Linked DNA regions of Tribolium castaneum. The protein of the gene in region 1 purifies or fractionates together with the protein of each later gene. This does not show direct contact. Links are inferred from orthologs where the notes say so. Each region holds a gene or a part of one and is shown in the gene's direction. Other genes may lie near its edges. The genes, in order: Syx17, Snap29 and Vamp7.

Region 1 (10,705 bases):
TTACACGAGATTTTGTTAAAAGACAGGAAATTAGACCAAAATTTTTTTTCTCAGCTTTTTTAGCACGTTGTCGAGCCAGAAAGTTAATGAATTTTTAAATTGATTTTCTCCATTTTTATTAATAATTATTATTCTTTAGGTATTTCGACCAAATGATCACCTAATTAATGTTAATTTTGAATGATAGAGTATAAAATCTTTAAGCAATTTTTCATCAATAAACACTCCATAAACTGATTACGAAACATGCGTCCACATAATTTCACACAGTGCACCGTGGTATCACGTTCATAATTCAAAATTAATGAAATTAAATAAATAAATGACTTAAATAAATAAAACACCCTATTTGTTTAGCTAATAATAAAGTAATGTTACACTTAAGCCTTTATTCGTCCTTTATTTCAATAAAATTACAAAAATTTTAATACTTTTCAACCCCAACAAGCAATCCATTGATGAAGTTTAACTGTATGTTTTTTTACAATGTGCTCTCGTATGATAAGCTAATAATCTTTGATAGCTACGTCCAAAAATGGAATAAACCATAGGAAAATAAAAAAAGTTTGTATTTGTAAGTAATTTCTGAAACATACAGAGTGTCCCTTTTTTGAACTCCACCACGGACCATGATGAGAATCACAGATAATATAAAGTTAAAGACTCAAGTTTGGTTTTTCTTATAGACCTCACATAAGCTTATTGTGCTTTTTAAAAGCGTTTTTATCCCTGATTACAACGATGTATCAGATGATATTTGATCAAAATGGAAAAAAGCACTTTTGCGAAGAGTGCTTTGGAAAAAACGCCAACAATTTTGTTTTCAATCAAACTAGATTTTGGAAGTTTAACTGAATTTCGATCTGGAAACTTTTCCGCATTTCCGCAAACCTTACTTACTTAAAAACTAAATCACATAATAAGCTAGAAGTTTATTCTTCGCAAAACAAAACAAGACAAAGTTATAAAAATACTGCTCGTATGTATATATTTAATTGAACTGATAAAATTTTGTTTGTTAAACTAAATTTTTGGCGTTTTTTCCAAAGCACTCTTTGAAAAAACGGTTTTTATTTAATTTTAACCAGCATATAAGATTCGACCACATCATGTGATACATCGTAATCAGAAACAAAAATACTTTTCAAAAATACAAATATCGTAGTTAAAATATCCTAATTAAAGAGGTAAAGCGTACAGGAAATCGGTTTACAAAATTGAAGAAATCAGAGAAAATCTTAAGTTAGGTAATCACTGAAAATCATTTTAGAATATTGGGAGAAATCTTGAGGAAATCTGGTGTAGAAAATTTAGGGTGCGGTTTAGCACTCGTTTCCAAATTAAAAAAAGCCTGAAACTTTTTTATCCTTATTGGATAATGAAGCTATTTTAATGTTTGTGTAATATTGTTTATTGGCAATTGTGTGTCGCATTGCGTAATATTGAGCCGTTTATAGCCCTCAGTATCCAATAATCGCCTTTCTTTATGCACCATTTGCATACAATCCAGCCACATATGCAAATCTCACAACCCGTTTTATGAATCTTTCAGTGCTTCAGTTTGAAACTGTCTTCTCGTTCTTTTCCATCCGAAACCACAAATAATATCAAGTCGTAAAAAAAGTAATTGACATGTTTACATTCCCACGCCTCGATCCCACGCACCTTAAGTATTTTTATCAAAATACATATTATCATCAATAACTTATTTACATTTTAATACGCTCGAACGCCCTCGCTCGAGCTACCGCCGATATTTACTTAGAAGATTTGTTTAAATGGATCACCAACAATGTCCACTTATTTTTATCGAGAAAACCGATCCGAACCACCAATTTACATCGCAGTAATTGAATTTCGTCGCAGTAATTTAAAGTTTGTGTGTAAATCCAGTTACCACACATCATTACCAGAGACTGTTTGTCACTTGTAAATACCCATGTAATTAAAATAAATCGCAGGCTTCGTGGGCTGATATCGATTCGCATCGAGATACCGAGGGATTTATTGAAAATTTTACGAAAAACAATGGCCGCTTTACCTCCCACAGATGTATTTATTTATGCATTTAATTCAACAAATGCCTCATAAATTCTTAAATGACAAGAAACCAACATATGGGGACATTCATGCAACATTTATACCATCATTAAAAAACTCAACTTATTCACGGAGGTCTTCTTTGTACGAGAACAGATAATAAGATTAAAAATTAATGGCGGCCGCTTGACCACAACCACTGTATTTATTTAGATTAAAAGATTAACAACAACTATTGTTAATTTGGCAACACTGACTATACACTGGTCAACATGACTTTTTTTAATACTATTCAAAACTATAAAACGCCAACGTTGCATTTTCACTCTAAATTAGCCGTTATAAATTATTCATGCACTTCAAAAAAATAATAGCTAATGTAGTTTCAATGAGAGATCTAGTCTCATCAGCTAATAGTAATAGTCTTTTGAACTTTTTTATGCAGATTCTAAAAATGTACACAAAAATTGGCCATCACGCCAGGTCTCTGAAAAAAATTATTTAATATTATAATAAAAAAATATATCAAATTTCACTGTATGGAAGCGAAGTTTTTTATTACAATGAATAAAAAAAAATGTTAACTGACAGATTATTATGTAAAATAGGGTCGTATCATTAAAAAAAACTGAGTTGTACCCCTTTTTTTAATAACCATTTTGGAAAAATCATACTAGCGTTAAACTTTGACAGTTAACAATTTTGAAAAATCAAGCAGGCTCTTCAAACATTCGGTTATCGAATGCAAAAAAATATTCACTTATCGCGAAAGAATCAAGAGCTGTGATATTTTAAATAAACCTCTGAAAATAAAAATTTTAAGAAACGAAATATATGTCAAAAACTATGACAGATAAGTATACATATATACCAATAACTTCGATAAATTTTACTCAATTTGAAAAAATGAATACAAAAATTTAATAAAAATGTGTGTTTACAATTTAAAATATCAAAGTTGGCGCGAATTTCTCATAGTTCCGAAAGCTCAGCCATTTTGAGAATAATTTAGTTGAATTAAACTCACAATTTTATTGATTTGGATTGTTTACAAACTTTTAACAAGCTGTATTAGAAATTGTTCTAACGTAGACCCTAAAAGAATCACTTGATTATGATGAAATTTTTAATAATAAAATTAATTTACTTATGTTGCCTTCTACAAAACCTGATGAGGTTGCAAAAAATGTTTTTATTATTATTATCCATTATTATGAAATAAAATTAATTTGGGTATTTGGGTATAATTTATAAAAAAAAATGTCGATCACATTTTCAATGTTGCCTCGTAATTTCAAATCGCAGGTCACTTGATGTTTGCGTTGATGAATAATTTCGAATAAATTCCTCTCTATCTGTTAATGAGTCGGCAAACCTGGGTGTTCCGACAGAATTGTAGTGGAGCGGCATCGTCACTCGCTTATTTTTCCGATAAATTAGCCATTATCGCGACTATTTCTGTTCTGCTATTATACAAGTCAGTTTTACTACGAAGAATCATGGGAATGATAATGTTTAAATTGATACAAATTCACTTAACGACTCAATCTTTTTATTTGTAATTATTTGAAAAATAAATTCCCGCTTAATTGGCCGAGTTTAATAAACCTGAACGAAGCATTTCGCATAAAATACCAAGAAAATCCGAAATCTCTAAGTGTTAAATTAAATTCGTTTTTCACTATTACCGATCCCAGAAGCTGATATTATCCTTGCCGCTGGAAATGTGTAGATGTAATCGACTTGATATAATTAGAGAGTAGTGATAATCAATTATACGAACAGATGATTACTGATTAGAATCGCCTCATACGCAAGATGTTATTAATTCCATTGAATTGAATTAAAAACTAGACGGAAATTAACAATAAAACCAACGCAAAGTTTAACGAACAAAAAAATTTGCCCCACCTTCCCCTAGCAAACTGCATTGAAGGCGGCGGGCGCGCAACGTAACACGTAGCGACATCTGATCGAAACACAGTCAAGCTTGACAGGTGCCGACTTTGCCGGCCCAAATGTCAACAAGCAAGTTTTTTGGTTAGAAACGTCAAAATTCTTTGTGCTACAACTCCATTATTTACAAATAAACACAGTAATGTGGTAACAATGTCGATTTTAAACACAAGTGTTACGAAACAACCCCTGAAACTGATCGAAGTGCCTTTAAATAAATTCAGTGAAGAAGTGATCCCTCACCACCAGAATATTTTCGAGCAGCACAAAACGCTAGTCCTCAAGGTAACATTTTGCCAAAATCGCAGTTAGGTTTATTTTTGGCACCAAATCAGAGATAACAAAGTTGTGAAAAAAATGTGATTACAGTTGATCTCGCAAAACAATGGCCAACGCGTCCGCCAAGAGGTGAAAAACAAAAAACGAATCGTAAAACAATTGAAAGACTTGATGTACGAACTGGATACTTTAAGGGCACAAGTCGAAGACTCCGATTTAGATAAATTCGACACCAAAACGCTATCATTTAGGAAAATTATCATCACCCTCATTTCGGGTTACACAGGTTGAGTTATTTTCAGACACCACTATTTTGTAAAATAAGTCAGTTTATTGGTTTAGATTTAGAGAAACGAAGTTTAGCATTAGACAACCAAAACCAGGACGATGAAGACGAGAAGAGACTCCTGCGTGAGCGGTGCCCCTTTGAGGGGGCGTCGCAAATCCAACTCCAAGACAACCTAGAGGACATCAAACTGAGACAACGACAAGAACTCCTAAACGAGGTGGAAACGGTTCAAAGAGACACTGAAGACTTGAACCAAATTTTCACCCATTTGAACCAAATGGTTGAAGGGCAAAGGGAGCAGGTCGAGCATGTTGAGGAAACGATTGAAGAGAGTAAAGAAAACGTGCAGTCGGGGTTTAAACAACTCGTCAAAGCCCACAAGTTTGTTTTGGCCCGTTTACAGCCTTCTTGATGGATGGGCAAGTGTTACTAACGTCAGTTTGACGTATTTAATGTCACTTTGACGTCAAAGCTTGTTATCTCATTATCAATTATGTATTTTTAAAGTATAATTAATTAAAAATAATGATGTGCTCTATAACTTGTGAGACGAAATGAGATATGAAATCGCAGGATTTTCTGAACTCATGAAATTCTAAAATTTTCTTCCTAACATTTTTCTTACATCTGTAAGTGTATTCGCAGCGTTTTGCTTCTAAAAAATTTTTTTAGTTTACGATAAAATTTTTGCATTGTGTTTATGAGAATTTACTGTTTTATCTGCCTGTATTTTTTGTTTACTATGCGTTAAAAATTATACAAAAACAATAATTTACAACCCGTAGTTCCATCCATCAATGAAGCGCTGTTAATTAAAATCAATTCAAGCCTGGAGTTATTTTTACAGATTGAAAACTGCCGTTTATCCAGTCACTGGTGCCTTCCTGGGGTCAATGATAGGGGGCCCTGTTGGTTTAGTGGCAGGGTTTAAAATCGGGGGTTTGACGGCTTTAGGGTGTGCGATAGCCGGGTATACAGGGGGGAAATTTTTCAAAAAAAATCACGAAGTGGAAGAAATTGAGGAGAAAAAGGAAGAGAGCGTGCAAATGGATGACAAACACGAGAAAAAGGATATATGACAGTGTGTTCTTTGTTAATTTATTTTAAATAAAAGACGTCTGACAAAGATAGGAAACTAACTATGGTAAAAAATCGAATCATGTTTATCATCTTTTCTTAGAAATAAATGTCAAATATCGTGAAATTTTTGTGTGATAATTTTTTAGGTATTACCTATTTGTAAGTGTAAATAGTTCAATAAATTGAATTCTAGAACTCGTGTTGTTTCATCAAAGATTTTTGTTCAGTTAAAACAACTTTGTCTTCAATAATAATGCTGAAACACTTATTACTCTTATTAGTATTACAGTAATAAAAACAGTTTCTTTGTATCTGCTCTCTAACTCAAGTTTTTTCATTTAAATTTGAATTTATGACTTTATAACTGTCTTTCGAGCATTTGGTCCAATATTACGATCAAATGGTTTTTTACTTTTAGCATTTTAAGTGACACTGAAAGAGTTTATTAAAATTTCCATAAGTTTTCGCGAAGTTCAAGAGAGAATTTGGAACAGAAATTAAGCGAAAAAGTAGTTAATTTTAAATTTTGTGGAAGATGTGTGTAAAATGTTCAATTATCTGTCAGTCTTTTGGTGATTTAGGGCCGGTTTATAGAAAGCTTTGTTAAAAGTTAACAACGCAAATGAATGGACCAATAACATTTGTTCAGTTTGGTCACCCATTTAATTGCGAATTAAATTAATGACGCTTCTCTAAACCGGTCCTTAGAGGGTTCAGTGATAAGAGGATTCTATGATGACTTGATGAGGGGCTGTTGTGACGTTACGACTTTTTCTTTCAAAGCGATTATCTTGCTTAATGTATATTTTCATTGCAGGAATTTTGAAAAGAACCTACTGGTATAGAACGAACGAAACTTTCAGTTTCCCGTTAAAACATAAAACACGTAAAATAAGTTGCCTCTAACAAGCATGACACTGCTTCGAGTTTTCTTAAAGACAACTGCCTACACTTTCATTACTTACCCGTTCCCGCATTTCTGGAGGGGCATTCACTGTAGGTCTATTCAGAATTTCAGTCATTTTGGCACAAAACACGCAAAAACACCGTTTTTATCACCCACAAACACGAGAAACCAAAAGGACGCGCACCGACAAGCGCACCACACGCAAATGCGTGACATCAAGGTAAAAAAACCCTATTGGTTTAAGCCGAAGGCGGGTGATTTGAAATTTGACAGCTTTTGAGGTTAATAATTTTGAAATATTGTAATTTAGATCTAAAACGATTTCAGAAACTGGTTTGGCTAAATTTGTTTCATTTTGTCAATTTCCGGCCCCAACACTCAAAATTATAGTCATCCGACGATTTTTTTAACTCAATTTTAGGATTTAAATCGACTTTTGGCTCCAGAACGAGCTAAAATTTTCTAAAATGGCGACAAATTTTGGCCAGTTTCGGCAAAAACGTCTAAACAAAATGAATTTCTTGCCGAAAAACGACCTGAATCGCTCACTAAAAATTGGGGGTGACGATTTTTTGGCTTGTTCAAGCTACTTAAAAAACACATTTCTCTCCAATTTGCCATTTCCTCATGTCATTTATTAAAAAAATAGTGTATTTATTGTTTACACGGCCAGTAAAAGAATGTGTTTCAAATAAATTACCATAAAACACCTGTTATTTCCAACCTTTGCCCCTCCATTTTTTATAGCTTATTTTCTCCATTTCTATCAGTGTAAAAGTCACCTTGACCCCGTTATATCGCCCCCCGGCTCTCCCACTTTTACTTTTATTGCCTCAGTCGCGTTCCAGCCACAACAAACAAACAATAATCGTGTGATAACACCGATAAGTGATTTTTTTAACCAAAAACAAATTGTGGTTATGTCTTCAACAGTGCAAAAGTATTTCGAAAAATACGGAATGGCCGTTCTAGAAACGATAGGTGCCGGTGTTTTAACCTACGGTTTATTCTATTTAATGGCTCTGTGTTTCGTCGATTGTGACCTAGAGCTAGCTTTCTACTCGATATTTGGGAAGTCCCCACGTATGTGAATTATTTATTAACTAAACTGAGACCAGTGACAATTTTCATGAACATTTTTCAGGAAAACTGAAGGGCAAAGTGGTCTTCATCACAGGCGCCTCCAGCGGCATTGGCGAACACACGGCCAAAGCCCTAGCCAAACACGGCGTCCGCCTAGTGCTCACCGCTCGACGCCAAAGCGAATTAGAACGCGTTAAAATTGAATGCCTCCACCTATCCAAAAACCAACTCTCTGATAAAGACATCCTGGTGATCCCCTTCGACATCACCGACTTGTCCGCCCACAAGCGGGTCTTCCAGCAGGCCTTGAACCACTTCGGCACCGTGCATGTCCTGGTGAACAACGCGGGGCGCTCGCAGAGGGCCCTCTTCGAGTACATTGACATGTCCGTCGACAAGCAAATGTTCGACTTGAACGTGTTCGCAGTCGTCAATTTGACCAGAATTGCAATCAACCATTTCAACGAGAAGGGCTCTGGTCATGTCGCTGTGGTCTCGAGTCTTGCGGGGGTTTTCGGAGCCCCCTATTCGGCCACTTACACGGCCACCAAACACGCAATTCATGTAAAATTACAGTTTCGTGTATTTTGTGCCTGACTGTGGTTTTGTAGGGATACTTTGATGCCCTCAGGATTGAGAAAATGGACAAAAATATCGCAGTGACGCTCCTATGTCCTGGGCCCACTCTGACTAATTTTTTACAGGAGAGCTTCACAGAACGAGACGGTCAGGTATAAATTTTTTAGAATTGTATTCAAAAACGAGTGAAATAACACCAATTTATGGTGATTTCCTGCTTGTTTTTATTTCAACAAAAACGTCATTAATTTGATAGGCTCACTTCGTTCCATAGTGCCGTTCTTATTATAATGGAACTCGGTTACAACGAACACCCAAAGGACTTCGGAAAGCGAGGTTCATTTGTACGTTAAAACCGAACCAACTTGTTACTATAATATAGGACTTTAAAAGGAGACATTCAATTTTATTCGTTATATCCGGGTTCATTATAACTGAGTTCCACTGTATTTTAAACAGCTTCTACATTCCCTCTTGGATTCTATCTTAATTTTTTCAAAATTCTTAGCTACCTTCGTTTAAAATGTATCCAGATTATTTTCTAGCATTGATTCTGTGCTTATCGCTATTTTTTTTTTAAATTCTTCACTTGAAGCTGTTTCTAGCTCTGAAATCTGGAGCCTTTTGTATTATTTTAGAAACTCATCTTTAAATTCTTTCTCTTACAGATTACTTTGTCATCTTTTCAAAAACCTTCGATAGTTCCATTTAGAATTTTTTAGATTATGTTTCTGTACTCTTCTTTAGATTCTCCTATAGCATTATTACTTCGTAAACTGTATTCAAAAATTATTTTTCAAACATTTTTTCCATTTGCCATTTTAAATTCCACTCTTGCCGTTTATTATTCTATTATTCTCTGAATTTTAAATTTACTTTTTAACGTATGGTTAATAATTTAATATGAAAGTATGAATGTATGAAAGGTTTTTTATCTCTTTTTACATAAGCCGTGACTTCGTGAAAAATGTGTAGGTATTTGTTGAATTTGGACATGATTTTGTATAGAATTAACAATTCAGAGTTAGCAGCAATTGATGTTCTTTACTTTGAATCAATGTAATGAAAATTATTTTAATTTATTATTTTTCAATGTTAACCGAAAATTTGGAAAATATTCTGTTGACATCGTCATAACCGATGTTACCAGCCCCTTATTATAAAGTCACATAAATAAATAGTTACAGGGTCCCTCACAACGACAATCTGCATAGTTACAATTTCTTTTTTTTTTGTAAATATCCATTAACCATCCATTAACATTTGCATATTTTAATTTTAGACAAATTAATTAACAATGAACTGTGCAATGAATTATGTGGGCCCCTCTAATTGTAATTTATTTCATTTTTTGAGCAGAAATACGGGATTCCGGCCGATAGGAAAGACAGGAGAATGACAGGGGAGAGGTGTGGGCAATTGTGTGCCATTGCGTTGGCCAATAGGACGCAAGAATCCTGGATGGGGCTCTTTCCCATGATGCCTTTCGTCTACACTGCTGTATACTTCCCAACAATTTCAAAAATGTACACAAAAAAATTATTATTTGGCATTCGATTGATTTGTGTGCTTTCAGGGCTTTGGGTCTATTGGGGCCCCGCCGACTATTCAAAATGAGAGACAGCAAAGATATTCAGTTTGATCAGGTAGAAAATATCGTCTAAGGGCGCCACATGGCCTTGCATTGTTGTTTTTATTGTTTGTTTAAGTATTATTGTGCTTAATAGAGTGTAACATGCAAAAATGTGTCTGATTGCTTAATTACTTATTTCGTTGTTAATTTATTGTTATAATAACACGCAATCAGGTTTTTCCATTATTATTAAGACTGAAATTGTGTTTAATGTATTTATTTTTATTTACGTTTTATGTACATTTTTATCATCTTCATTAGGTAAGTTTTATTTGCTTGAAAATCAACTTGAATTTTATAATATTATCATACAGGGTGGGTGAGTCACTGAATTTAAAACTGCGCGGTCTGTACTTCCATAGCAATAACCAATCACAAAGTCCGGTCGCATGATTCGTGACTCACCCTGTATGTTGTTACAATTTTTTCAACCAATTTTTTTCCAGGGTAAGCGAAAACTATGAAGTGGTGGTGGACTGCACATTCTTTTGCTAACATTTTTTCCTATTTCTGCGACTAACAAATGGCAAAAAATTGAATAACTGGTGGCGGTATTACTTGGTTCTTGTATTATATTTAACGTAAATACTCCTCAAACTCGTTAGGTGTTAAGAAACGTGATTTATTTACCTACATTTGTACAATAAACGCCAATTACAGTTGCATGTCTTTTTTCCTCCTCTCCTTGCCCCTCAAAATAGCCGCCTTGAACAACTTGCAATACAGCTCAATACTAGCAGGGGAATCGTCATTTCCGGGCACCGGATACGTCAACAAATTGGGATCACAGTTCGAGTCAACAATCCCAATGGTGGCAATCCCCATTTTGGCCGAATCCCTGACTGCTGTATGTTGCAAC
Region 2 (9,844 bases), on another chromosome or scaffold:
CTTTTGGCAATCGTGGTGAGCTTGAAAATGTCGCAACGCGAGAAGCAAACCGGGGGATTCCCCCTCTTCCCGTGCACGACCAGCGACTCAAGCACTGATAACATATACCCTAACAATTGTAATACCAACCCCAACGCGCTTAACTACAGCCGGAACGAGATGATTATGGACAACATACCAACCGAACCAGTCGAACGTCCCAATTTGTTAAAAACCGCCTTTCAAAACGACTCCTTCGATAAGAAATCAACCCTAGAACGTTACCATTCCGATTCGGAACGCACTAGCAATTTCGACCGTTTCGAACGCCCGAATTGGTCCGATCGGTTCGATTCGCGTCCGAATAACCACGAGGCGAACTTCGGCCGAAGTTCGGCGCGGTTGAATTCGGCAAAGTACTACACGAAGCCGAAGTATGACGATGAAGGCGGGGCGCAAGAACGTAATATCTATAGCGAACCGGTGGATAATCACCAGTACGAAAGGACGCGGCATGATTTCGAACGCGGGGATTTCGATAGAAGGAGTCGGAATTCGTCGAATACGTCCGGGAGGAGATCGACTGGTCGGACGCGTAAAAACCATGCTCGACCCCATCTCGGGGTGCAAACCTTGCCGAACCACCAGGATTCCATGCTGGTGGACGAACAAGGTTTCGTCAGATTTAGGCACATGCAGGAGGAGAAACCGAGTCAGGGGCATTTTAGTGATGCGTGAAATTCGGGGCTGAGTCGGACTAAAGGGTAGTGAGCCGAGGGGGCGAATTGCAATTAGAAAAAAAGTACAAATTTCGATACATTTTGATGATTTTTGGAGTTGTCAGTGCAAAAAATGGATGCCGGGTTAAATTGGGCTGTGGCGCCCAACGTGGGGCCACGACCAACTAACCAAATCTTTGAGAGAAAACGAGTTTTAAGCTGCAATTATGGTTAAACACACTCATGATGGCATGTCTACTTAATTTTATTGAAGAAATTTGGAGTGAAACACTTGAAAGACATTAAACAACGACCTAACTATACCTAGTTATTTATTGATAATACTCATTTCGTGACGTTTGGAAGCGCAGGGTACTAGATAGCCCCGTTTCGTGTGATTTTAGCAATAATTCCGTTAATTAGAGCTCACTACCCCCGCCGCCCCCGATAGACGGTTCGGCCTAATCAAAACCCACTTTCGCTTTTGACGTTTTAAAAAACTTAGCCATGACAGTCACACGTGTGAACGCGGTCCCTCACGAGGACAAACCTAATAAAGTAAAAATCCACTAATTGTTAGATTATAGTGTATGTACGATTATAATACTTTACGATGATAAAGTAGCAGTGTATAAAAATGAATTTGCAAAAGTGTACATATTTATAATGTTAAGTGACTATATATAATTTTAATTTTTTATATAATTTTTGATAAGATACAGGGTGTTCGTGTTGACAACAAACAAAAAGAACGGCAGCTACTATGACCCGATTTTCTCAAAACTCTTCTCCGAATTGTTTCGTCCCCTGTATATTTTTAGTTAGTTTAGATGAACGGACTGAATTCATGTTATTTATTATCGTTCGGGCTAAATACACGAGAAATTACCGTCCTAATGACCAAAATAGGCGGCGGAAAAATCGCTCGCCAGAGGGCGTCTTTTCCGGCGACGTGTCACAAATATGTAGATGTGTTTTGTTTGTATATATGTATCTAAGCCAATATTTAGCCTTGCCATTTTTAACTGCTGGGTTTTTTAATAACGTAGTAAGAGTTAAGGAAGAAGAATTATTATTTTTGTACATTATGTTCAGTATTATTTTTTTACGTTCACAGTATTTATTATTAGGTTTCCTTTCTCACAAAAGACTTGATTTTTATACATTCCTCGTTACTTGCCACTCTTTACTTTATAATGTTCCTAAGTGACGTACTTATACCAGTAATTCTGACGTTTTTTGCCAGTATTTCTATAACGCCTCTACTTGTATTAGTATAGAGAGAATAACATTTTTTGATTTTTGGTGTCACACAAATGTTATTTTAAACAAATAAACTACAAGATATAAGTGAATCTGGTGATTTTCCAAATGTACAAAACTGATGAAAAATACATTTCGTAAAGTCATCGCTTTATTTATACGAATCGACTTCTATTGTATTATATTATTGTAAAATATAAACTATGTCTAAGCTTGGATTCAATTAATCCAATCCCTTTCACTTAATCCTGCCAGTTTATGTAACTAATTATACAAAGGTGCATTGTGGGTTGCTTTACATTAATAGCTGAAATAATTAAACGTAATTACACTGACATGAACAGTTAAAATCGTTGTTGTGTGTGTTTTACAAAACAGACAATGTCGGAGGCTTTGAATAAGAAAAGCAAACAATGAAACGATTGCTATTATTCCACGTAATTACAGCTGAATACGTCGATATTTCAGCGTATAGGCAACCAGTTGGGCGAATAGATTCGTATCCCAAGTAGGCAACGTTTTGGAAAATTTATTCCGGCCATAATATCACACGTCGTCGCCGTTAAAGTCGGCGAAATTTGCAAGTCGCGATAAAGATCATCGATTTAAAGCATAGGTTAATCCGTTCCATTTCGTTATCGGTCACGTTCCGAAACAAATGGACGAATACGTTTCGAAAATCATAAAGCGCCATCGTTGTGTCGTGGCTCTAAGTTTGATAAATGCGAGGATCTGGACGGAGAATTAATGGATGTGTCACGGCTTCGCCTTAAAAAGGGTGCAATTTGTTTTTTTCCTCATGTCTAGAGGTGGTTTTCCCAAAGAAAACGAAGAAAAATTGAAATGAAATTCTGTGATTGCGTAACCACGCCCACTTCGGGCCGGGAAATTTAAAAAATTTGATTTTCTGCCACTTTCATTAATAATTGACGACCTCGGGGGTTTACCCAAATCTGCGGAATTTATGTACGAGTTGTACGTCTTTGACCCGAAAAGCGATCCGATTACGGGAATGCCTGATTATTGCTATTATTACCCGACTAAATGAATTTATGGCCGGAGGATAACCTTTTTTGTTCCAAGGGAAGCGAAGAAAAGATCCGGAGGGTGATTTATTGGCCCTATAGTATTGTTGGTTGCATAACCAATAACGAACGTAGCGAGTGCGCCAATTGTATTACTTTCAGTAAAATGTTTCTGGTAATATTGACAATTGCAAACATTATTTGAATAACCCGATTTAATCCACAATGTACTACCGATTGCTGTTTTTATTGTGTATTGTTTTTTGTTGTAATTAATTCCAATCGGCAAAGCTCGTCCAAATGTTAAATAAACAATGTGTTTGTTGATTATTTTATCTGATATTAACGAATTAGCGCTCGAACGGAACTCTGCAGCAGACATTAATTATTTGCAGTTTATAAATTATAATAATGAGGGAGGATAACATGTAATTATTTACTAGTTTCAAATTTATTTTGGGTAAATAGAAATATATTGATGGGCGTGGCCAATTCAAGACCAGTCGTACCAACGCAAATTAAGTCAGGCATGAGATCATTCCAGTATCATCTTCACGGCCTTGACTTTTCTCCGTTTAAGAATAAATTCATCGCAAAATGAAAAAGAAATCACAAACACGTTTGTGTGTCCGTGTGTTGTTTCTCAGTCACGAGATTGTGTGAGTGACGCAATTTACCAACTTTCACTCAAAACGCAAATCTGATTTTAGTCATTTTGCCACAACGACAAGAAGTGCATCGGTGTGTTTGACAAAAAAAACGCAATACAATGAATAGAACGGTGAGTTTTTGCCGAATTTTTGTGAAATCTCAAGCCTCCGGCAATCGCCTTGTCCCACTTTCATTCTCTATTCATTCCCAAGACGATTAATCAAAAGTTATTGGCGTAAATATTTCCCAAAGTTTAGGCGCATTCTAAATTTGGGGAAATTGAGTTGCGTGATTTAGTGATTTACGATTGGTGACACTGTTAGTTATCACGTTTCAACGCTGCCAACTTAGAAATTTACAATGACGACGTCATAAAGTTTGGATTAATGACCGAGGCCGCCTCGATTAGAAATGTCGCGTATGTTTACTACCAACAGTCATGTGAATCCATTCGGGGGAATTACCGGATTAATAATTATTAGCCCAGTTGGCTGAGACGTAAACAATTGCCACTAATCGTAAACCTCACGAAAAATAAACCGTTTTATTGTTACGACTCCCCTAAACCGGGCTTGATATTTTAATTAAAAGTCCTGCCAACCCCACAATTTGATTGTTAAAATCCCCAGTTTTTGGCCCTGTTGGCGCTGACCTCGGGGGCGGCGTGCGACGTCGCCCACTTGGTGCACGTCCAGCAAACCGAGCCGTCAACACCGCCGCCGCCCCCAAAGCCGTACGCTTTTGGTTACGCCGCCGGTCGTTTCCCCGGCCACATCGACCGGACGCATTCGGAGGTTTCCGACGGTTCGGGGGTGGTCCAAGGCTCGTACTCGTATGTGGATCCCCGGTTTAAGATCCGCACTGTTGAGTACACGGCCGATAAGAACGGCTTTCACCCGGTTTTGAATTTCGCGCCAGAGCCGCTCCCATCCGACACGCCGGTGGTGGCGGCGGCCAAGCACCGCCATCTCGTGCAGTTCGCAAACATCGCCAACGCCAGGCATGCCGCCCCCGGGACGGTCGTGGTGCCAGTCGACTCGGTGGCGGTGAGCCGCGCCAAGGACAAGCATTTCAAGCTGTTCCAGAAAATCGCAGAGGAGCATGCCAGGCTGGCGGCGGCGCAGGAGGCGCAAGGGGGCACCGAAAAGCCCATTTATTGAATTGTTTAATTGCGAATAAAGTTTTTTGAGCAAGGTGTATTGTTGGTTGCCTACACTAACTGTGATGTTACTAACTCAAGCAAGAAAATCCCCACGTCAGTGTCAATAACAAATGTCAAAATTGCAACTTTTGTGTTTTTATTTATTGTGATATTCCGCCCCCCAAATGTCGAATCCCTACGCCAGGTCCACTAACCCGTTCGAGAACGACGACGACGTCGACGATGAGCTGTTTTTGCGCAACTCGCGTCGGTCGCAAGGGGGCCCCCAGGCGTCTTTCGACGACCAGTTGCAGTCCTTCCAGGAGCGCAAACGGGCCATCGAAGACCGCACCATCAACAGCACGGAGAAAAGTTTGAGTATTTTGCGCGATTCCGAACAAATTGGCATCGCCACAGCCGAAGAATTGATGAGGCAAAGAGAGAAGTTGGAGAAAACTGATAAGCAATTGGATGAAATCAACGCGACTTTGAGATTCTCCCAGAAGCATATCAACGGGATCAAGTCGGTTTTCAACAGTTTGAAGAACTACATGGCGGGGAAAAACGACGCAAGTCCGAGCCCCCCGTCAAAGACAACTAAATCAGAGTCTGAAGATTTGCACAAAGAGTTCGAGCAAAAGTTGTCGACTTATGACCGCTTCGAGAATCATCCCTCAACCAGGTTGAAAAACTTGGATTATAATAATGCGGGGCAAACGTCAGGGAGTAAGGATTTTAGTGCGAAACTGGACGCCAATTTGCAAGAAATGTGTTCAAATATATCACGCTTGAAAAATTTAGCCACGGATTTGTCGTTCGAGATTGACTCGCAAAATGACTTGATTAGCACCATTACTGATAAGGCGGAGACGGCTGATATGACCATCACCAAGCAGAACAAAGATATGATGAGAATATTGAAAAAATCCTAGTGTTTTTAGTTTTTAAAGCGGAAATCAAAATGTTGCACTTTTCTGTCTTGTAATTGATTGTAATACTCTCTGTTTAGTTGATTAGTAATTATTTGTATATTTGGAGCGTAAATGGATCTATCGATTGTTGTTATGATTGCATTATTATGTGAATAAATTCTTTAATAATGAACTGAACTGATTTAAACGCCCCCCCTTCCCACAGTGTTCTGTTTTACCGACATTGTCACACCACACTGACAGCCTATTCTCTGCTGACAGCCACGGGTATGAAACTGGGGTTGCATAAGTGGAAACACGAAAGTATGTGGGCCACCTCCTAGGGTCGGGGAAAGAGGGGTCAAACAGCGGGTGTATAGCGCGTGCTCCAAGCTTCTTTTCCCAAACAGCCAATAAGATTCGTTTGCGCAAGAGCAATTGTGTTTCAATTGTTTCTCACTGTTGTTTTTTCGTGAATAAGGGTCAGAAAAGGAGTTCCAGGGGATGTAAGTAAAAATAAAACTGATTTGTAACTGTATTAATTCAGTTTTGATGTATTTTTAGAGACGAATAACGTTCTCATGGGGTGAAGTGACGAGCAGGACTTAAATTAAATTAACAAAGTTATGTTGTTCCTCGAAAGAAGTACTGCTGCAAGTATCCAGGCTGCAACAACTGGTACTATACATCAACACTCCAGAGGGCTTTGTGAACAAGCACTTTTTTGTGTTTCCAAAAGACCCTACGCAGCATCAACAATGGAGGAACATTTGCAAGATAAGTTCCAAAAATTCAGATTTTTTTAGAATTTGTGAGGATCATTTTGACGAATCTGCTTTTGTGAATGAGAGGAAAGATCGTCTAAATTTCAGAGCAGTACACTCGTTCCCACTGAACCATCTGACATTCATTTACTTGAGGATCTGCCACATCCAGATCAACAAAGCAAAATATTTGAAGATCCTTCTTCATCTGCTTTGTCTGAGGAAAATGTAAATGTTGTTGGTTCTTTGTCTGTTGAATCACCTTCAACGTCATCTTTTGTAAATTTGGCATATAATGAATTATGCAGTTCCTCTCATTCGCAAAGTAGTGAAGTAATAAACAATTCAGATTCCACCATTTCGAACAGCAGCTGTTTAGAGAATCATAATGAAACCTCATTTAATGTAAACAAATTCGCGTTTCTGGATAATCAAGGTAGAGACGGTATTCTAACTAAAATTGGCTGTTCTTCCAAAGATTTGACACCGCGAAAAGAGCTGATGTACAAAGCTCACCGAAACATTCAGTCGAGGTTGTGTAGATTGAGCAAAACATTAGAAAAGGAAAAGGGTAAGGTGAAGACTTTGCAAAAATTGTACGATGCCGGAAAATTCGAGTTCATCACCGAAAATTTGAATGAAGTCACTAAGGCTTTCATTAATTCACAATTGCGAAATGTTTCCTGTCAACCGACCGCGCGCAGATGGACAGACGAGGATAAAGCTTTTGCTTTATCTTTGTACAAGAGAAGTCCGAGATTGTATAAGTATTTGCAAGTCCATTTTCAATTACCCTCTTCCCGCACACTGAAAGCCATTTTAGCTAAGATTCAGTTCGATACTGGTATTAATCCAGGTATTTTGGAACACCTGAAAAATCACGTCTCAAAAATGAAACATGCAGATCGTTATTGTTTGATGAGATGTCGGTTTGTCAAGGATTTCATTATGAACGAGCTAAACAGTGGTTACGAGGACATGGGCTCCTTGGGTCGCACTAACAAAGCAGTCAACCATGCTCTTGTTTTTATGATCCGAAGGTTGAGACTCCAGTGGAAACAAGTAATTGCTTATTACTTTACGGCAAATACAGTTAGCGCGAACAATCTAAAGTTTCTTATTGAAGAAATAATTTCACAACTTCAGAACATCGGTTTAACGGTAGTCGCTACTGTTTGTGATCAGGGCACTACAAATGTTTCCGCGTTGAATCAGCTTTATGCCAAACAACATCCCAGGCAAGGTTCATATTATTTCTTCATTAATAATCAGCCGATTGTTACAATTTTCGACGTGTCGCATCTTTTAAAAAACACGCGAAATGCATTATTGAAATGCAAAATTCAACAAAAAACTTTTAAATCGTTGCCCAAATTAAAGAAGGAGTATTTTAATTTCAAAGACTCTTACATGAAAATGAAGGTGAAGGTAGCCGCTGCACAGCTTAGCAGCTCTGTGGCTGCTGCTATCGAAACCTTCGTCTCTTTTGCACATATTCTGCCGTCTGAAGCCATTCATACGGCTGAATTTGTGCAGAAGGTCGACAACATGTTAGAAGAGCGCAAAAAAATCATCAAACTCACGTACGAAATGGATCCGAGTTTTGGAAAATCGCCAGAAATCGTCAGTTTGATCCGAAAAACCGAGATTAAAATCACAGCTGCAAATTTTTTTGTTTTGGACAAATCAACAATTTTGGACGTTTTGGAAACTATAGTGGCTTTCGTCATCGTTCTGGCACAATTCAGGACTTGAAAAAATAATACTCTCGACTGTATAATTTTTTTTTAATAAATAATTATTTTTTCCCACTCGTTTGAACAAACCCATAAAACAACCCATTTTCGTTCTTCAAAAGTTGGGCAGGTGGGCCAAACTCGGCCACCGTCCCAGCATCCATCACCAGGATCTTGTCCGAGTCCATGATGGTGTTCAACCGATGGGCGATGGTCAGAACCGTACAATTCCGAAACTTCCTCCTTACAACTTTCTGGATAACTTCGTCGGTTTTCAAGTCAACATTTGCGGTCGCTTCGTCCAAAACTATGATTTTTGAGTTGCGCAAAATGGCCCGGACTAGGCACAAAAGTTGCCTCTGGCCCACACTAACATTAGCCCCGCCCTCCAAAATCGTAGTTTCAAGACCTTGCGCCCAATTCGTCACCATTTCCTTAAGTTCAACCTCTTCAAGTGACGACCACAACTGACTGTCGCTGAATTGCTCAAACGGGTCCAGATTTTGGCGCAAAGAGCCCAAAAAAAGCACCGGATCTTGTGGAATTATCGCGATTTTTGAGCGCAAAATCGACAATGGGAGCGTTTTAGTGTCAGCACCGTCGATCAAAACAGTACCATCGAAGTGAAACAGGCGGAAAAGTACCGAAATTAAACTACTTTTGCCAGCGCCTGTCCGGCCAACAATTCCGATTTTCTCGCCTGGGTTGATGTTGAATGTGACGCTTTTGAGTACCGTTGTGTTGCTTAGAGGGTACTTCATGGTCACGTCGTCGAAGAGGATGCGACCATTGTTGGGCCACAAGTCCGATGGTACCGTGGTACCATCGTCTTTTTCGGGCTCCAGTTCCGCGTATTCGACCACACGTTCAACTGAAGTCATCTGGGAGTCGAGTTCGCTCCAGGTTTTGGTACCGTATTGGATTAAGCCCACCAGGGAGGTGGACTGGGTTATGGCCAAGCCAATGTAGCCAACCCACATTTCTGCAAAAAATTTACAGAAATTATTGTGAAATAATCGACAGTTTTTCAATTTTTTTGAAACTAAAATTTACAATTTTTTTATTTCTTTACTTTTTTTTGTTTCAGTTTTGTAGTTGAATGTCTTTTAGTTTTTTAATTTCTTGGTTTCTCAATATTTTCAGTTATCTAATTTTTTAGTTTCTCATTGTTCCAGGTTCTTTGTTTCCAGTTCTCTACATTGTTCATTTTTTTTAGCTTTTAATTCTTTCATTGTCTTAACTACTTTGAATGTCGGTTTCTCGTCAGATCAGACGAGTTAAATACCTTTATATCATTTTCCGAAAAAGTGCGTACTTTCTTTAGAAATTTTTATTAACCCATCTATTGAGAACCACTGTGTGGCTTATGGAAGTTTATTATCAGTTATTTTTTTTATTAAGCAAACTGAAGATGGTGGATCAGGGGCGTTTTAAGAATTTTTCAGGGTCCCCACGATGCAACCGCAGCCTGTGCCCCCCACGGCTGCATCACACTGGCCAGCGCTGAGCCAGCGCTACCCCCAGCAACAACAGGAGCCCCCCAAACCCCAAGGAACGATGACAACGGCCGAGACCCTCGCGCAGCTCTCACAGGCGTGCAAAAGGTTAGATCAGTTAGTTGACTTATCTAAAATGCTCAAGGCGGTAGTTGATCT
Region 3 (10,038 bases), on another chromosome or scaffold:
GGAAGTCTTAGGCATGAAGGCCTTAACACGGGAGAAGTATTTCTTGGAGAATCGCTTACCCGATTGGCCCAATATGAGGGATAATAGGACTCTTTAATTTTTTTGTAATAAATTGTTTGTATTTTGTTTTTTTATTAATCACCTAAAAAACCATAATAAAGCATTTCAACACAAAAACATAAGTTACATAAGTTAATTAAGGGTGTATGGGTGTATTAAATACTCGGAAAAAGCCTTAACGTTGTCCCCGCCCCTGACTTCCTTCTCCAGTAAGGGTAATTTAGTGACGTGGAAGTCCTCATACAAGTCATTAATCTGATCGAGATATTTCTCCTGGATTTTGAACCTTGCTAGACACATTTTGCACGGATTTTCGTCGGGTTTTTTAAATAGCAATTGATTGACGATAATGTTGTGAGTGTCGATTTTGCATTTGGTTAGTTCCTGGACCAGTCGTTCGGTTTCATAAAGCGACAGAAATTCTGCGATGCACACGCAGACAAACGTGGTCTGGTCAGGATTTTTGAACTGCTCATTAACTTGTTTAATGACCGACAGCATTTCCTCCATTTTCGAGGAGAGAGTGTCAGCGTTAAAGTCCTGAATGCCCAAAAGGCCGCTAATTTGTGACACAAGTGGCGAAATCTTCAATTTTAATCGTAGCAACTTCCCTAAACCTTTCTCAACAACTTGAGGGAACGACAGGAGCCGTAAGGTGTGCCCTGTGGGGGCCGTATCGAACACCACGGTCGAGAAATTCATACTTTTGATTAACTTCATAACTTCTGCGTAGCTCATGGCCTCGTCTATGCCCGGGAAGGCGCCTATTATTTCCTGGATGATGCCCTTGCTCATCCTCATTGCTTCAGGCTCCCCGTCGAAGTACTCGTCCGGGAGCTCGTTAAAACCCACGTTCGGGTCTATTTCCATGGCGTACAAATTGTTAAAGCCTTTTACAAGAGTTGGCACTTTTGTGAACTTTTGGTCAAAGGCGTCCGATATATTGTGGGCCGGGTCGGTTGATATGATTAGTACAGACTCGCGGACTTTCGACAGTTGGACTGCTAAGCTACAACTGGAAAGGGGGTTACATATTGAACTCGCCGTGACGTGACAGAACTTGCCTACAAGTGGTTTTGCCCACACCGCCTTTGCCACCGACGAAAATCCATTTTAGGGTCGTCTGGTCGATCACATTCTTTAACGAGGGCTCCAGGGGCTCAAAATCTGACATTGTTGATTCTGTTTTTTGAGTTAACCTCAAACTTGACACCTCGACTCTAGTTTTTTTCTTTTTATCTACGTGGTTGAGGTGGCCACTCTGTATTCCAGTGGCGTTCGTTCATTTCGCGTAATTCAAACAATAACGTTAAATTATCATTTAACAATAATTTTGAACCACCAGTGACGAGTTTAACGAATTTAAAAAAGTGCATTAACTGCTTGCTTCGAGTAGCAGCACATTATTTTAGCATTTTACAGCACTGGTACGTTTTCAATGCCGGTTTTGAGGTTATGTCAATCAAAACAAATCATTTTGTAGCGTAAAAATGCCGGTAAATAACATTTTGTACTCGGAGAAGTACTCCGACGAGCACTACGAGTACCGGCACGTTATTTTACCCGCCGATTTGGCCAAACTCGTGCCCCGGGCCCACCTAATGACCGAAACAGAATGGCGCAATTTGGGGGTACAACAAAGCCCCAATTGGGTACATTACATGTTGCACACTCCTGAGCCACACATTTTACTGTTTAGGCGACCGCTGTCGCAAAGTAACTCAAATGGCTTGTAAGGACTTTGTGCAAATTTGTTAAGTGTGAAATAGGTTTAAGTTTTTTATTATGTAAAAAATAAATAATATGTTTTATCAAAACCCAATTTATTTCACTTGCACGTTTTTACACAAGACAAGACTTAAACAGATTAGTCTTCCACCACTGAGGCAACCTTGTAACCATCCTCTTCTTCCCAACTCGTCTGATTAATTTTTTTGTTGGGCAAAATTTTTTTAGAAAATTTCACGTAACTTGACTTTTTGGACACGCAATAACTGTCTTTCATTTTCACGGTTTTTATTTCCCCGGGTTCAACCAAACGAACTTGCGGCTTTTTTTTCTCTTTAATTTCTTTCGCAACTTTGGGTAAAATTGTCAAAACTTGCTGCCTCTTCATCGCATTTTTCGTCGTACGGCGCATTTGTTGATTACTGGGGTTTGGTTTCACGAACGATTTTATCCTCGAAGTTTTCAAAAACGTTTTACATTTTTCTTTAGGCAGTTGCTTGACTTCTGTATGCAAATCACGCTTATTTTTGCGGCTTATTTTCTCATCACCTCCAGCTCGCGAAGACGCCTCGGATTTCATTTCGCGTTTAATATCATTCCGCTGTTTCATAATCGAAGCCAAATTTTCACTAGACACACTTTTTTTCTCCTGCTTCTTAACATTTTGTGTTTTTCCATTTGGTTTAACAATCTGAACCGTTTTAATTGTAGTTTCTAGTTCCTGAAATGCTTTATTGTTCATACGGATGAGATCAGCCTCGCTTTTAAATTCGTGCATGGACACTTTTTTGCTTCCGTTTTTAGCTTTTTTAGGACAAACTGCGTTCAAAGTGCACAATTTTAAATTATCGCTGGCAATAGTTTGGAGTTTTGTGTTTGCTCCAACATTGTTAACTAACGATTCTTTTTTAGAACTCTTAATTAACGGAGGTGGAGCTGTAGTGCGCTTTGATCCCAAAGAATCCTTCGTTTTTAGGATGACATTCAACCTCATTTTAACATTTCTAGTTGTTTTGCAAGGCTTCTTATTCAAGTCCGAATTTCTTAACGACTGTACGAAACGCTGATCTGTTGTTTGTTGATTCATTCTTTCTATTTTTTCGGGTACAGCAATTTTTGGTTCATTAACAATTTGATGCTCCTCAGTTTTTTGTGGATTTTTCTGTGGAGTAGTTTTTCTCTCATCTTCTGTTATAATGGGATTTAAAGCGTCACTTTTTCCTTCTTTCTGCAGAATAGTTTTCTGATCATCTTTCTTAATCGCATCTAAAGGTGAAACATTTTTAGAAACGTCGGCTGTTTTCTTAATAAAATTATGAACACTAATAATTGTGTTAGTTTGTTTGTTGTCTCGTTCCGTTGGTACTATTTCTCGAGACTTGATCACACTTTTGTCACCTCCTTCAACAACTACCGCAACAGTGGCATTTGCGGAATGGTTCTGAACCAATTTTTTGATGTCATTGCCATTAATAATGGTATTATTGCCCTGTTCGTCTTTTTTCTGGTTTTGTATAAGCACGGGTGGAGCATTACTAACAGATTTTTTTGGAAAAATCTTGTCTTTAGACACTTCTGTCTTTTTATTATTTGCTCCTCCACTGTCCCCAACACCATCTAATTGTCCCTCCTCAAACGACAGACGTTTTTCCGTAATGTGGAACATGGAGTTACTTATCTTAACAAACTTGCCGAACTTTTCCTCTCCTTGGACTTTTTTCGAAATTGTTGCTTCCGTCGCCACAAACTGTCTCTTATTATAGAACGCACACTTAGTCATATTTGCGTAATCACTTTTCAGCGACAAAAATTTCATGGTTGTTAAGGTGTGCCAAAGTGTGTTTTCAAATTTCTTGAAACGGTCTTCATTGACTTGTATCACTTTTTTGGATTCTTCAATCTCAATCTGTGTTTTCTTCCAGATGGTTTCCAATTTTCGGTTTTCGTTCAAAACTGGCTCGGATCTCGCCCGTTTTAGTAACTTGGCGGAGTTTGTTTTCACTTCCAGGTCAATAATACGGCCCCTTAAACGCTCATTCTGTTTATTTTGTACGCTTGGTTTTGCAATTTTCTCAGCTAGTTGTTTCTTCATTCTTCTGATGTCGTTGTTCTTGTGCGACATGTCCAAAGCAGCTTCGATTCCCTCAGGTTTCGGCACTTTTAAGTTAATTTCAGCGCTGGTTTTGCTTTCGCCGTGCCTGAATCTACAACGCGTGATCTCTTCTTCGATTATTTTATTGATGAGGCTTGTGAATTGTTGCGAAGTGGCTGCGTTTGACAAAATATCAGTGCATGCGACAAGTTTCCTCTTGATTTTGTCCAGTTTTTCGCTGTTTGAGTTGATGAGGGCATCCTTCTCGAGGATGTTCACCAGTTTGATGATATTCTTGAAGAGAAACTCTTGCGATTTGAGGATTGCGTGCAAGTTGTCAATGATGTGTTCCTGACTTTTCACTTTAAACTCGTTAATTTTGGTGTGTTCACGGCGCAACCATTCAGGGACTGTGTTCAAATTTTGGTTTTTCGGCAACTCTTCCAATTTTTTATCAACGGTTTGCGGCACCAAAGCAACAGTATGTGTATGTTTCTCATTTTCTTGCTTTACCCGGTTTATGTGTTCGTACAAGTAGCGGAGATCGTTCGTCACAACGTCTCCCTCACAGGTGTATTTGCTCGAGTTGTTGATAAACTCCAACATGTTTTCAAACGGGATTATTTGGGTCGCGTTGCTGTATTCGGTCGAAATTTTTCGCTTGAAGTGCATACATTTTTTGATATATTCGTGGAGTGTCTCGGCCGCTGCTGTGGTTAAAACCTTCCCACGCAGTAACAATAAATTTAACAGGAATTCCATAATTTGCGCCATGAAATTGAAATGATTGGAATTATTTGCTCGGCCACATTTTTTGAATTCTTTGACAACGCGCCACTCGATTTTCAAAAACCACAACATCTAACAACGCTTGTAACACGTTTTATTTGATTCAAATAAATCTCACTCAAACTAAACCAAGGTGTTACTTTCGGTATCGTGGCCGAATTTTACTATGAAATTATTTTTTTGGAGAAATTTTGAAAATGCACGGACGCCACTGGTGTGGTATTTAGAACATCGACTGAGTCATCGCTGACGCATGCGCACTTTGAAACCAAACGTCAGTGTGACACATGACGTTTTTGTTATTGTTCTCAATTTTTTATAATAATACCAATTAATTCAAAGATATTTGTGTTCGTTGTGCGCGTTTTTATCATTGTTACGTGTGTGGCATTTTTGGCGTTTATGTGAAGGTGTCAACGTAAATCGGAAAAAATAAAACGTAATTACGTCCCAACTGTTTAGGATCAATTAACATTGTTTATTCATTATAGATGCCAATTCTTTATAGTGTAATATCTCGGGGAAGCACCGTTCTAGTTCGATATGCCTCTTGCGCCGGGAATTTCGCTGAAGTTACTGAACAGATCATCGGAAAAATACCACCACATGATGATAAGTTGACGTACTCGCACGGGAACTATTTGTTCCACTATGTTTGTGAAAACCAAGTTATTTACATGTGTATTACTGACGATGTAACGTGGAATGTCGCGTAAATACTTGGTTGTATTGTCATCATTGTTTCAGGAGTTTGAGAGGTCACGGGCGTTTTTATTTCTCAATGAAATTAAAAGGCGTTTCAGGTCCCAATATGGGGACTCTATCCAGACTGCGATTGCATATGCGATGAATTCTGAATTTTCCAGGGTTCTAGCCAACGAAATGAAACATTATTCCGAATCCCATGATGTGGATACAATTTCAAGAGTTCATGGAGAGTTGGATGAACTTAAAAATATTATGGTCAAGAATATAGGTGAGTGTGAATAAATATTTTGTATGTGATATTTATTACTGCGTTCATTGATAAGATAATGTGGCGATGAGGGGAGAAAGGCTGGAACTGTTAGTAAATAAAGCTGAAAATTTGAATAGTGGGGTGAGTATTTAATAAAAAGTTGTTTTTTTTTCTGAAACTTTTTTTCAGTCTGTGACGTTCAGGAAGACAAGTCGCAATCTGGCACGTTCCATGTTTTGGAAAAACGTTAAGCTTTATGTTATCATTGGTGTGATTATTACTGTGATTGTTTATTTTATTGTTTGCATGGCTTGCGGAGGGCTTCTCTGGCAGGGCTGTATTGCTAAGAAATAAAAATTTTAAGATATTTTACTTTATTCATTACTTAAACACTGTACCGTTTTATCTTTATGTAAATAAGATTCCGCAAAATTAGTGATAAAAACATTCTTTTATAATTATGTAGTTTATCTTCGTTAATTTATAATTTTGTAATTGTTAAGGTATCGTTACTTGAATAAAGCAGACAAAATATACTCTTGTTTTATTTTCCCTCTAGTCTTTTATCTAATCACGTATTAAAAAGTCTCAAAAAATTCAAGAATTAAACACAAAAAAATCAAGAATAATTGTTTTAGTTGGTAACAAATTTAAAGAATTTTCTTATTCAGCAACTGGATACGGAGAAGCTATCATTAGTCGAACCACTTAAAAAAAAGATTTAGATTTGCCAACTCGAGCATTCTTTTTGTAGATATGTCTCATATTAGGTCTTACTAAAAAAAAAATTTAGAGATTCTGCAAAAAAAGAAAAGGATTCTGTGTTAAAGAAAATCCCAACGACAAATTTAAAGCCAAAAAAAACAATAATTCAAAGAGAAAATTATTTTTTAAAACTGACAGCTGTTGCTAATAAGATCTGAAACGGACCATACTCGTAAATTGGCATGTGATAAGAATTACTGCTTTCAAAGATTGAAATACAAAAGCTATAAAAGAGATATAACATTTAAAAAACGTAAAAGTAATCTTTAAGAAAGGAAATGCAAAAAAAAGGTTTCTCACATAATAAAATGAGCTATATAATATTAGAGAAACATTGTGAGGTCCTTTTTATTTGTTAATTATGATTAATTATAATTACCTACCTATTTCCGACAGGGGCATACAGAAATTGATTTGGGGGTAATTTGGGGAGGTTAAGCTATTGAATGAAACTTTTTCTGTCGGTATGTTAAAATATTTAAAAATAAATTAGGCCTCAATTTTTTTTATTGCTAAAATAAAAAAAATATATATTTTTTTTTAAATAAAACACTCTACATTTGAATTGAAGTAACAGTGGTTTTTTATCTTTTAAATAATAATAGTCCATAATGGAATTTTAGCAAAACTATTAAAACAAAATTGACAATACCCAGAACAATGTAACCGTGGATTATTTTGAAATTTTTTAATGATTACTGGTCTGGTTTGCTGGAATTAGAATTATTATTTGCATATTAACAAAAATTCAGAAATAACCCATTATCGACTCACCCTGTACATGGTTATTAATCATAATGTTTTTTACTTGTAGTTTTTGGAAGAATTGGATCTCTTTCACAAAAACAAACTTTTTTTCAAAATATAAAAAAAACTTTAACATATAATACAACAGAGAATGTTTATCTACACTTGTTTAAATAAGTTTAAGTAATAAAAAAATCTGGACGTAAAAAAAATTTTAAACATAAAATATAATTTCTTTGTTTTACATTAATTTCAGGAATCTTCCTACGTATTTCATAGTACAGACTGATCCAGAAATACTGAGTCTGTTGGCAACACATTTGAAAGTATTTGTGCTTGTAACTTATAACATTGCAACCGAATTCGATTTTTCTTGACAATTATTTGACGTACAACCCCACAAGAATGTTAAATTGTTGTTAACTGGAAGCGTATTCCATTAGTATCCTTAAAAATTTAAGTCCAGTGTTGCCAACAGACTCAGTATTTCTGGATCAGTCTGTATATATCAGTTATAAGTATATGAGTAGTAATTTATATATTAACAATTTATTGATAAATGCTATTATTAAAAAAAACATTTATCCTTACCATTAGGCTTTTTTTATTTATAAAAAAATTAAAATTGAAGTTTGTGAGGGTCCTGGACCCCTAGACTTTCTCCCGGGATTTGCCCTTCATTTTTGAGGAAAACTTTGCAGTAACAGTGTAAATAATCCGACTTAAACAACATTGTCAAAATTTTTATTTATTTATCCACCAAAAAAAAATCATCAATATTACAATATTTAACCAAATTTTTTTTCATAATTTAATTTTTCTAGTCAACGAGAAAAAAAGAAATCTACTTGTAAAACGACTTTTAGTCTTTTTTACGACCTAGTTAATTATCAACTTCTGAGCAAAATTTTGTATCACTCGAGTCAAAATTGTGCAAATAATCTGAATAAAACAACTTGGACAAAAAGGTTTCTCTACCGCGTATCCACCAAAAAAAATCGTCAAGATCACAATAACCGCAAATTTATGTCCAAAGTATCCCATATAACGTAGAATTGCCTGAGGATTTCAGATCTGTCCTCATTTTTGTTCTCTCATTCGTAGTTTTGGAATTATTGGACGAATACTATCGATTTTAATTTTTTCATAAGCGTCCATAAAATGAACAAAAATGAATAAGTACCTACTCGTACTTATTTTGTTATCAAAAAAAAAATATTTTTTAGTTTTATTTGACCTTACATTTTCCACATCGCAAATGTTTGTTATTTTAAACTGGCAAAAATATTGTCGATTTGTTCTATTTGCGCCTCTAATAAAAGATAGGAAGGTACTATATTTGTGATCAAAACGCAATGAAAAAATACCAAAAGAACAACAAATGATCATATTTGGAAAAAAGCTGTTTTTTATTTTTCCCCATGCCCATGATGGTCCTGCCCATGTCGCAATACCAATCCCATGAATGAACTTGTACTACAAACAAGCGCGGTGTCACGGTTTGAGTAAAAGGTGAATCCACTGAAATTGCGAGTAAAATCGATGCTTCAACCCTCTGCATCCTCTCCCAACGCTTTCACCCCACAACGTCTACCCTCTAGAGGTACACACCCCCTACTCTATGTAGGATGTATAGCTATGTCGTTGACTCCGCAGCAGCTACCGCTCCAACATAAAAGAGACCCGAGCATCAGTTGAGTGTGGACGGTGTTGGAAGCGTTAAAATGTAAAATTACGCGATTCTGAGTAAAACGAGTGCTCAACACGTTCAGAAATTGTGTGATGTAGCCGCTAGCGTTGCAGTAACAACCCTTGCTACAAAAATTCAACAAAATAATTCGTAGCTCGAAAAAATTCCGTGATGTGATTATTAATCAGTAGCGGGTTCCTGCTGAAGTAGTACCATTTGGTACTACGTCACGTGGCCAAAGACAATGCTGAAATAATTTAGAATGTCTTAAGTGTGTGCGGTGAAAAAATCGATTCACAATGGATGATAGCTCGCCTGATTTGAGTCTCAAGCTGAGGCGAGGATCTAGCGATTCGAGAGATTCGTTTTACATGGATTTTGATAAAGGAATCGATTCGGATATCGAAGAAATGGCAACTACTTCCGCTGCTGACCTCGGGGACACGACTGCGGACACCACAGCAACCCCCACTGCTTTAGGGTACGGGAAAACTGAAGGCGAAAGGTACGTGATTTATTGTATCAGTTTACCCAACTTGCCTGAAGAAGCCCAAATACGGCTCATAACGGATTGAATGTCCATCCTTTACCGTATTAGGAATATCACTCCAATCAATTATTAAACGAGAATGTGAAAGAGAAAAATCGTAACGGGACATGACCCGGACATGTTTCATGTCAGTTCCAGTATAGTGCTCTAGAGATTATCATTAAAATATGACAAAGTTTTAAATTATACGACTCTGTGCGTTCTATTTGTGCTATTTACATGCTTCCGCAGTGGAAAATCTATTCACAACAAAAATAGTGGGTGTGAGAAGGGAAACATGCCACTTGTCGTGCGTGTATATTTCAAAAAAGCTTTCACACAAAAACTAAATAAGCAAGCAAAAGTGCGGAAAGGGAGGCCAATAATTTACGAGTCTCTTGGTGGTTACCGCATTTAAATAAATAAAAGAAAGGAACAGTAAAGGACAATAAACAACCCTTAGTTTGAACGTCAAAGCTCACAAAAGTAGATTGTTTTTTTTTTCATAAAGTTATTGCTTTTTTATTTCACTTATTGTATGTATTTTTGTTTTTTGTTAGCAATTACTGGAAAACGAATAGTCAGATGACAATAATCTTTTTTTTAAGGCAGCTAATTAAAAGAGCTTTCCAAAAATAATAGTTCTAGTAGTCCTGGAGCTCATAAAGTTATTACTTTTT

Evidence for each region.
Region 2: the proteins of Syx17 (region 1) and Snap29 purify together in Drosophila melanogaster (affinity purification with western blotting; 4 studies listed by BioGRID, with this or other methods). This does not show direct contact. The link is inferred for Tribolium castaneum from reciprocal best matches to the Drosophila melanogaster genes Syx17 and Snap29.
Region 3: the proteins of Syx17 (region 1) and Vamp7 purify together in Drosophila melanogaster (affinity purification with western blotting; 4 studies listed by BioGRID, with this or other methods). This does not show direct contact. The link is inferred for Tribolium castaneum from reciprocal best matches to the Drosophila melanogaster genes Syx17 and Vamp7.

Annotation. Positions count from the first base shown.
Region 1 is NC_087394.1:25,879,456-25,890,160, reverse strand, and holds Syx17 (syntaxin-17), read left to right. Parts: upstream 1-4,043; 5' UTR 4,044-4,149; coding exon 4,150-4,281; intron 4,282-4,365; coding exon 4,366-4,561; intron 4,562-4,617; coding exon 4,618-4,945; intron 4,946-5,411; coding exon 5,412-5,643; 3' UTR 5,644-5,839; downstream 5,840-10,705. Other genes in the region: dehydrogenase/reductase SDR family member 7, read left to right, coding at 7,472-7,634, 7,696-8,198, 8,246-8,365, 9,573-9,739, 9,790-9,859, 10,293-10,310; mRpS2 (small ribosomal subunit protein uS2m), read right to left, coding at 10,501-10,705.
Region 2 is NC_087401.1:16,863,113-16,872,956, forward strand, and holds Snap29 (synaptosomal-associated protein 29), read left to right. Parts: upstream 1-4,869; 5' UTR 4,870-4,963; coding exon 4,964-5,710; 3' UTR 5,711-5,882; downstream 5,883-9,844. Other genes in the region: uncharacterized protein LOC100142142, read left to right, coding at 1-717; larval cuticle protein A2B, read left to right, coding at 3,756-3,767, 4,267-4,797; uncharacterized protein LOC135266932, read left to right, coding at 6,955-8,208.
Region 3 is NC_087402.1:8,577,827-8,587,864, forward strand, and holds Vamp7 (vesicle-associated membrane protein 7), read left to right. Parts: upstream 1-4,916; 5' UTR 4,917-5,108; intron 5,109-5,160; coding exon 5,161-5,364; intron 5,365-5,416; coding exon 5,417-5,645; intron 5,646-5,700; coding exon 5,701-5,768; intron 5,769-5,816; coding exon 5,817-5,981; 3' UTR 5,982-5,994; downstream 5,995-10,038. Other genes in the region: Arp10 (actin-related protein 10), read left to right, coding at 1-97; ATPase ASNA1 homolog, read right to left, coding at 193-1,075, 1,125-1,234; cyclin-dependent kinases regulatory subunit, read left to right, coding at 1,551-1,796; uncharacterized protein LOC103312779, read right to left, coding at 1,928-4,642; proton channel OtopLc, read left to right, coding at 9,129-9,334.